2 linked regions of the Caenorhabditis elegans genome follow. The protein of the gene in region 1 interacts with the protein of each later gene in a pairwise test. Each region holds a gene or a part of one and is shown on either strand. Other genes may lie near its edges.

The links.
Region 2: the proteins of skr-4 (region 1) and fbxa-167 interact in a two-hybrid assay, tested with the Caenorhabditis elegans proteins (one study listed by BioGRID).

Annotation. Positions count from the first base shown.
Region 1 is NC_003283.11:19,922,079-19,925,587, reverse strand, and holds skr-4 (Skp1-related protein), read right to left. Parts: upstream 1,365-3,509; 5' UTR 1,336-1,364; coding exon 1,273-1,335; intron 1,216-1,272; coding exon 970-1,215; intron 898-969; coding exon 727-897; 3' UTR 555-726; downstream 1-554. Other genes in the region: Y60A3A.16 (non-specific serine/threonine protein kinase), read left to right, coding at 2,994-3,190, 3,298-3,415, 3,461-3,509.
Region 2 is NC_003280.10:13,639,543-13,644,590, forward strand, and holds fbxa-167 (F-box domain-containing protein), read left to right. Parts: upstream 1-1,946; 5' UTR 1,947-2,019; coding exon 2,020-2,216; intron 2,217-2,266; coding exon 2,267-2,350; intron 2,351-3,276; coding exon 3,277-3,934; intron 3,935-3,987; coding exon 3,988-4,182; 3' UTR 4,183-4,281; downstream 4,282-5,048.

The sequences.
Region 1 (3,509 bases):
AAATTTGATCGTCAACTTGATATCTGTATCGGCCTTCTCAATCAGTTGCACTCGGAGTCTTCAAAGTCGAAATCCGGCAGACTTATCTTTCTTCTCGGCGAGCTTAAGTCCTATTCTACTAGACAGCTTGAATCTCTCCTAGATCTCAAAACTTGTGAGATTGTGATTAGTTTTCTTTAAATTGTGACTATTTCTCTGATGCTGTTATATGAACATATTGCCCCATTTTGCTCACTAGGCTTAGGTTTTGGCCTTGTCTTAGAGATTTTCATAAAATTTACAACTGCTTCATTTCAAAACAAATGTTTAAACCCAAATTTCTTTCCTAATTTTTCTCCAGATTCACCCATACAACCAATTTTTTCAAACAATTTTCTTCTCGATCAGTTAAAATAATTCCAAAAAGAGCAAAGAGTTAACTTCCAATTTTCAACCAAAACCTAATTTTTTTCACTTTTTTTTCAAGTCAAAAACGTAGTTGGCTGCAAATTTGACCGCCAAAGATACTTTTGTTGCAAATTGAGAATTCATGCACAAACTACAAACCACAAAATACAGGCGTTATACATTTATTCAAATTTTATTTTCTGTTGGATGCAATGCAAAGCGTACTTGACAAACAAAGTTGTTTTGTTTAAAATAATTTTTGATTTGTTTTAAGTGACATAAAAGAGGTATGTAAACCGAATCAGATAAATTTTAAGTTAATTATGTTTAACCGGGAGCTTAATCCTCGCACCAAGCGTTCCCCTTCTTCATGGCCTCCAGTTCCTCCTCGGAGAAGTTGTCAATTTTGAACAGGGTTCGGACTTGGCTTGGAGTTTTACCCTTCATCATGTTAGCCACATTCTGGGTGGTCACTTCCAAAAGCCCACGGATGTCGAGGTAGTTGGCTGCCTGGACAAAGGAAATTGGTTTTATTTTTCATTCTGGAAGAGAGATTAAAAGTTCTAAAGCTTAAATATTTACCAAGATGATTTCGAACAAAGTCCCCTGGTCGACTTTCATGAACTCGGCGTCCCATTCACTAATTTCTACCGTCTTTTTATTTCCTTTTTCTATCTTTTCGACTTTCTTTGGCTCATCGTCGGCGTGATGCTCGCACCAGGTGATAATCTTCTCAAGGATCGCAGAAGTCACTTTTGGAAGTGGAATCGTGTCTTCAGAAGTGAATCCAGATATGGTCTTGGATTGGCTGATCACTTTTCGTGAGACCTATAAAATTACATTTTATAATTTAGTTAACGGAAATTATAGTTTTTAAAAAAATACCGTGAAAGTTTTATCATCAGACGAGATGAGCTTGATTTGTTTCTGGCTGTCGGCGTCTGACATTTTTAAAATGTTCGATTTCTTTGTGTAATCTGGAAAATTTGAAATACAGTCAAGAGTCGAAGAGTCAACTCAAGAAGACAAAAAAATTCGAAAGTTACTTTCAGCAGAAAAGAGACGAAAATATTTTTTTCATTTTCAAATTGATAAGAACTGAAAAGTGAGCTGAATGCTTAATGCCTCCGTTGCTTTTTAAACTAAAAACCTTACATTGCTACGCTTAAATGTTGAAATTTGTGTTGATAGGAACAGTGTACACAACTTGAGAATGAGAGGTTGAGGAATTGAAAGAAGGGAGGAGAGATAGAGAGAAGTGAGGAAGTGTTAAAAAAAATTTCGTGCATATATGTTAACCGCTCAGTATCTGCCACCATCCAGAAATAAGACATCTGAAAAATACATAGAAATTATTGTATCAAAAAATTAAATTTCCAACCGTAAATGTAAAACCTATGATAGCTAAGCAATACGAAACTGAACATATTATACCATAAGGAATGAAATAGAAAGAAAGGAAGGAGCTTCTGAGAATAAAAATGTAAATACAACGTTTTTCTGGTGAGAGGTACCTAAAAAGAACCATATAACGATACAAAAATGTGCATGTAAAATCGGATATGTAGAAAATATGAAGCTTCCTCTCAGGCATAATGCAATTGTTCCGAAATTTGATTTCTGAAAAAAAAAGTAGCTGTACAGTGTCTAAAGTTAGGCTAAAATCAATTTTTAAAAATTTGCAGAGGGTCAAAAAATTGTAGAAATTTTCAGCGCACATGTTATGTACACTGCTCTTATAATATTCAGATTTTGAACTTTTTTAAAACATCCACTAGAGTTATTTTACTTTGGATTTTTTGTGTAACTATTTTTCAAGAAAACCAACATTTAAAAAATAATCACAATGAGTCAGCAAAATGTCGCATACTAAAGACTACCTTTTCGAAAATTCCATCCGTAATAAAATATGAAAATGCATATTTATGGTCCAAAGAAGACTGAAATAACAAATTTATAGGACTGCAAAGCCGAACTCCTTACCATTTGCACCAACAAGTCGATCAGGGAAGATAAAATATTGTAAATTGAGAAAAATTAATAAAATTCTATAATTACCCAGATGAGTTTTTCTGTCGTCATGAGCAATATAGATACCTAATAAATTGATGACAAAAGAGCACGAGCCACTTATTTTAGAAGCATAATGGTGAATCCAGTTAATTTGCATTTTCCAAAGCTTAAAGAACGAAAGAGAGTTATTCAAAATATTGTATATTATGTTTTTGTCATCAAATCGTGTGATCACAGAGCAGACGGTGTCCACGCATGAGAAACTATTTTTTGAGTAAAGTTTGTTTAGTTTGATCTGATGATCGTGTTTCTTTCACAACGTCATCAAGAATTCATTTTCTTGCAAAGGTGCTTTTAATTTAGTTTTTGCTATGAAGTAGTGCCACGAAAAATAAATTTCGCCATTTCTACTTATCAATAATGTTCATATTTTTTGTGTGCTATCTTGGAAATGAACTTCAATTTTATTTGTTCTGGCGTTGCTAATCTCTGTTTAGAGAAAATTGATTGACCCTCTTTTCACTCTTTTTTTTCCGGGTAATAAATTTGCGATTTTTTATTAATTTTAAAAATATGTACAATTTCAGTAAAAAATGATGGAACCTATTGAAGAGTGTGATGAAAATGTTGGAGCATTCCAATGGCAGCAAGCGTCTGAAACTTTGGCTGCTATTCGTCAGCGGTTTGGGTTTGCGCTGGAGACGACTGATCAGGAAGATATGCCGAGAGCAGTGAGGTTCACTTGGAACCTGAAGAAAACTTCAATGCTGGAACCGGATGAGATTTTGAAGTAAGGGGTAGGTTTTCGCGCATCTTGCCTATTCACATGCCTGTCTACGGATAATTTTTTTGAAATGTTACCAACACGCGTTCTTAATTTGTAAAAATACGTTTCAGAGAAATTCAAAAAGTACTTGGAAGCTATGGCATTGATTATGAACAACAAAAACGATTCTTGCTCCGCTGTAGCCATGTGGATCCTCTCACTGATGCGTCAGTAAAGTGGGAAATCGAGGTCAAAATAACATTTATTTTTCATTAGAAAGTTCCAGTTTTTCAGGTCTGCACACTACCACGCTTATATTTGAATGGTGTGCATTTTCAACGCA
Region 2 (5,048 bases), on another chromosome or scaffold:
CATATTACCAAATTGGCAAAAAATGTAGTTTTTGGCAAATTGGCAATAATTTCCTTTTTGGCATAGTGCCAATTTGGCAATTAGGTAAGCTTTTTTTTGCAATCTGCAAATTTGTCAAGAATTTTAATTTTCGCCATTTTGCCGGATTGGCGGAAATGTAATTTTTGGCAAGAATTTCTTTTTTCTGGCAAATTGGCAATTATTCATTATTTGAAATTGCCAATTTGGCTAGGATTTTCATTTTTTGGCAATCTGCCAATTTGGTGGAATCTAGAATTTTTGCCATATTACCAAATTGACGGACTTTCCATTTTTGGCATTGTGCCAAGTTGATAAGAATTTCCTTTTTTTTGCACTTTGCCAATTAGGCAAGAATTTGAATTTTTGGCAATTCGCCAATTTGGCGAGAATTTTAATTTTTGGCCATCTGCCAATTTGGCATGAGGTATAAATTTTGACAAGTTGCCAATTTGGGATAAGTTTTATTTTGGGAGTTGGGCAATTAGAGGAGAATTTCAATTTTTGGCAATTTTCTAATTTGGCAAAAAATTTTCAACAGCGTTTTATGGGCAAAAACAATTAAAACTGAATTTTTAGAAAGTTAAAATAATTCCAACAACAATAATTCTTGTTAATTAAATTTTTCGGTTGTGACAACGTCATCACAAAACATTCTAAACCAATTTAAAGATATTGAGTCCTAAGAAGCTAAAACTTCAAAAATAAATTATATTTTCAGCATAGTTACACCGAAAACACACCGAAAAGAAGAGAGAAAATGCGTTTATGGTCAGCGAGCGGCAAGAGACAAAAAACGAACGTAGAAGGAGAAGATGGGCAACACACAAAAATGTGACACATTTAGAGAGAGAGAGAGAGATAGAGAGAAAAACAAAAGACGCGAGCGGAATACACAAAAATGGGTGCAAAACGGGTGTATGAATAAATAATGGGCAAATATTGGAACAAAACGGAGGGTTTTGTCGGGAATAAAAGGAATATTTCAATAGCTCATAGTTAAAAATTTCAAGATTTTCACAAAAATGAATGTCAAACTTTAAAATTAGTATGGGACTTATTACTGTTGTGATTTTTGATGAGATGAGTTCAATTCTACCAAAAGGACACAATTTTCATTTTTGGTTTTCAGTACAGATAAATTATTATTTTTGAAACATTTCACTAAATCCGGGCCTTCATATTTCACTCAAAATTAACATTTTTCAGAATGTTTTTACAGAAACTTGTTTCAAATTTTGAGCTCTTTTTTAATTATATAACGAAATTCAGCTTTTTTTTGTTGCTATAATGCTATTTTTCTAGGTAGGGCACTTTTTTGCTCAATATGATTATAACCAATGTGCAAGAATTTCCAAAAATATTTAAAATGGTAGCATTTTGAAAAAAAATACTTTTTTGGGGCTTTTGAAATGTATATCGTAGAAACAGAGACGGTCATACATTTGTCTAAAAGATGAAAAAATCTGCTATTTTTTTAGGTAAGACACTTTTTTGCTACATGATAATAACCAATGTGCAAGAATTTCCAAAAATATTAAAAATGGTAGCATTTTGAAAAAAATACTTTTTTGGGTTTTTTGAAATGAATATCGTAGCTACAGAGACGGCCATACATTTTTCTAAAAGAACAAAAAATCTGCTATTTTTTTTAGGTAGGACACTTTTTTGCTAGATGAACATAACTACTATAAAATTTTTTTAATGGTGGTAGCATTTTGTTGCTCTTATGGTGCAAAACGACCAAACATTTAATTTTTTTAAAGTTTGTCCCCAATTTAATGAAAAGAATACGGTATTCTACCGGTCGATGCGACTCTTATCATTCTACTTCCAATTTCTCACTTGTTCTGTGCTGCTGTCTCTCCCCTCTCATATTTTTCATCTCTCTTGTCTATTTCTCTTTTCCATCTCCACTGCTTCCCCTCTTTCCATTTTCCCGCATTTTCATTGATTTTCCGTCCAATTCTAGAGTTTTTAAAGTTAAAAAGGTCCAGTAAAATGCCTGCCATCCTGGAAACCAACCCAATTGCTATTCGAGCTTGCATTCTCTACGAGGTCCGCCAAAAGCGGCCAATTTTCGAGTCTTTCAAGAATTTTTGCAATGCGTTTGGAAATGATTTTATGGAATATCGAGAATTTGAGCGCTGGTTTTATCGATTTTATCATGGAAACGAGGATTTGGATTATGATATGAGGTAAGTGTAAAGATAAGTTCTAAAATGTAATTTATTAGAAAGAAATTCAGCCGGGAACCAAAAACAGCATCGCTATCCGAGTTGCCAATTGAAATATTGTTCAAAATTGTGGAAAACTTGAATTTTCTGGACAGGTTAGTTTTAAAAAATGTTTTTCTTTGAAAATGTATGTTTTTTGGACGTGGGGATTTTTAAAAAAATATTCTTAAAATTAAGCAAAAAATATATGCATGATCAGAAGTGGGCGGCAATTACCGTTCGGCAATTTTTTTTTGTCGACAAATTTGGCAAATCGGCAAATTTCCGGTATGCCGATTTGTTACCAGAAATTTTCAATTCCGGCATCTTGCCGATTTTTCAGAAATTTTCAATTCCGGCAACTTGCCGATTTGCCGGAAATTCTCAATTCCGGCAATTTGTCGATTTGCCGGAAATTTTTAATTCCGCCAACTTGCCGATTTGCCGGAAATTTTCAATTCCGGCAACTTGCCGATTTGCCAGAAATTTTCATTTTCGGCAACTTGCCGATTTGCCAGAAATTTTCATTTTCGGCAACTTGCCGATTTGCCAGAAATTTTCAATTCCAGCAACTTGCCGATTTGCCGGAAATTCTGAATTCCGCCAACTTGCCGATTTGCCGGAAATTCTCAATTCCGACAATTTGTCGATTTGCCGGAAATTTTTAATTCCGGCATATATGAAAACTTTAAAATTAACAAAAAAATAAAAAGTTTTACTATGAAACTTATAAAGTAATTTCAATACTAGTATCTGAAAATTTAAATTAGGTCTTCCATAAGGTCAGGCAGGCAGGCGTTAAAACTCCTGCCGGCCTGACCTTAAGGTGACCCACGCCTGCCTCTCGCCTCAAAACGCGCCTTATGCTTCATTTCATAATTGGAAAATGGACAAATTAATAGAAATGACAAAATTTGAAGTTTGAAGATTCACATAAAATGTAGAAAATTTTCAGACAGGCGTGAGGCCCTGAAGCCGGGCCTGCCTTGAAAGCCCTACTTTAAATATTTCAAATAACACTTCCAAAAATTCAAAATTCCAGACTTCTCCTCCGCAACGTCTCGCCATGCTTCCGCAGCATCGCCGAGGATCACGTCAACGAGGTCACCAACATCTCAGTGACTTCTATTCCAAACCACGTACATGTATGCTTCTATCATGAAAGTGACTATACAGATATTATATGTAAACGTGTGGATGATGATTGTGTAATTACTAAAATGTCGCAATACGAGGATTCAAAGGATTGGAAAATTGAAGGAGTTTCTCATGTGACTGTTGCATTGAACTATCTGTCTAGGGTATTGAAGAGCCCGAAGTTGAAGCTGGAAAAGTTAAGACTGGACTTTTTGGAGCATAATAAAGAGGATACCCAGTGTATGGAAGAATTATTAACTGTGCTTGAAAATTCCGAACCCCATGTTCTGAACATTGAATTCGAAGGACTAAACTTCCACGAAACATCTAGTGTTCTCAAAAACCTGAAAAATGTTGAAGAGATACAACTATCAATGTACAGTATACAAGAGTTGTCTGGAATTGAGAAGCTCGTTGAGCTGGAGCAATGGAAGACAGCAAAGACACTTGATATATCGAGTCATGAAGACATTGAGATGGATATTAAAGATTTGCTGCACTTTCAATCAATTGATGTTCGTCTGAAATCGTTTTCAGTTCAGGATGCGGTTAAGGTTAAGGAGGTGAAATACTGGAAAATGTTTGACCCTAAATTAAATTTTATTCTGATTTTCAGACCCTCGAACTCCGCACCTCTGACTTCAGATCAGGAACGTTCAGAGTCCTTAACACAGATACTCGAAAAATCGGAAAAGTATTCAACCCAAAATATACAGACGCTGCTAACAACACATTCAACTTCAAGACTAAAAATTCCTCATTTGAAATAACTATGTGTTCCAAGGAAATTTATGTTAAACGGAAGCTATAAAAGGAGTCTAGCAGTCATAATTCCACGCTTATTTATATATCTTGTTGCCATAAATTGAGTTTAGATACTTTTCAGAAATAAAGTTTTATTAATGAAATATAATACTGTGCGCCCAACTTCCCCCTTAATTTTTCCGTTTTACCACATTCTGAAATTTTTTTGAAAAAATGGCTAATGCCATTCGATTCCAAATGTCAAAAACCCCGTGTCCACAATTTTTATGAAAATACATGGGCAACTACAGAAATTAGATCAAAAAATCATTTAAAAAAAAACCATAAATGTAATTGCAAAAGAAGAGTGTTTCAGATTCAAAATTGTGATAATAACATTATTTATAAGCATTCTATTCATATTTGAATGTTTTTGAAAAAATTGAAAAATTGAAGAAAAGAGAAGTTCGTCTCGATATAGTGCTATTTTTAGGATGTTTGAAAGTCCGCTGTGAGCTTGCTTCTAGAGTATCGCCGCTAAAAATTATCGAATGACTAGGTCTCATATGCAAGCCCAATTGGCCCTTTCTGACGAGCCCCTTGTTAGTTGAGCTTTTATGTTAATATTTCGTTTATTCGCACGTTGTTGTTAAATGAGTTGTATGAGTTGTTAAAGTTAACGTAAAACAAGGTTTCTTCGCTGAAAAGTGGCTGGTTGTTAAATAAAGTAGGTTTAAATTACACAAAATTTACAGAATTGCTTTGCTCACGGAACAATCGCTTTACCGCGACTGTAATAAACAAGCTCTAAAAATATTCTCAATTTGTTTGCATTATCATGTGGACGGTAAATTCCGGTGTGAATATGTTGGAAATCTATCGTGCCACACAAAAAAGTCGGTACCCATGTTTTGATAAAACACAGTTGCAAGA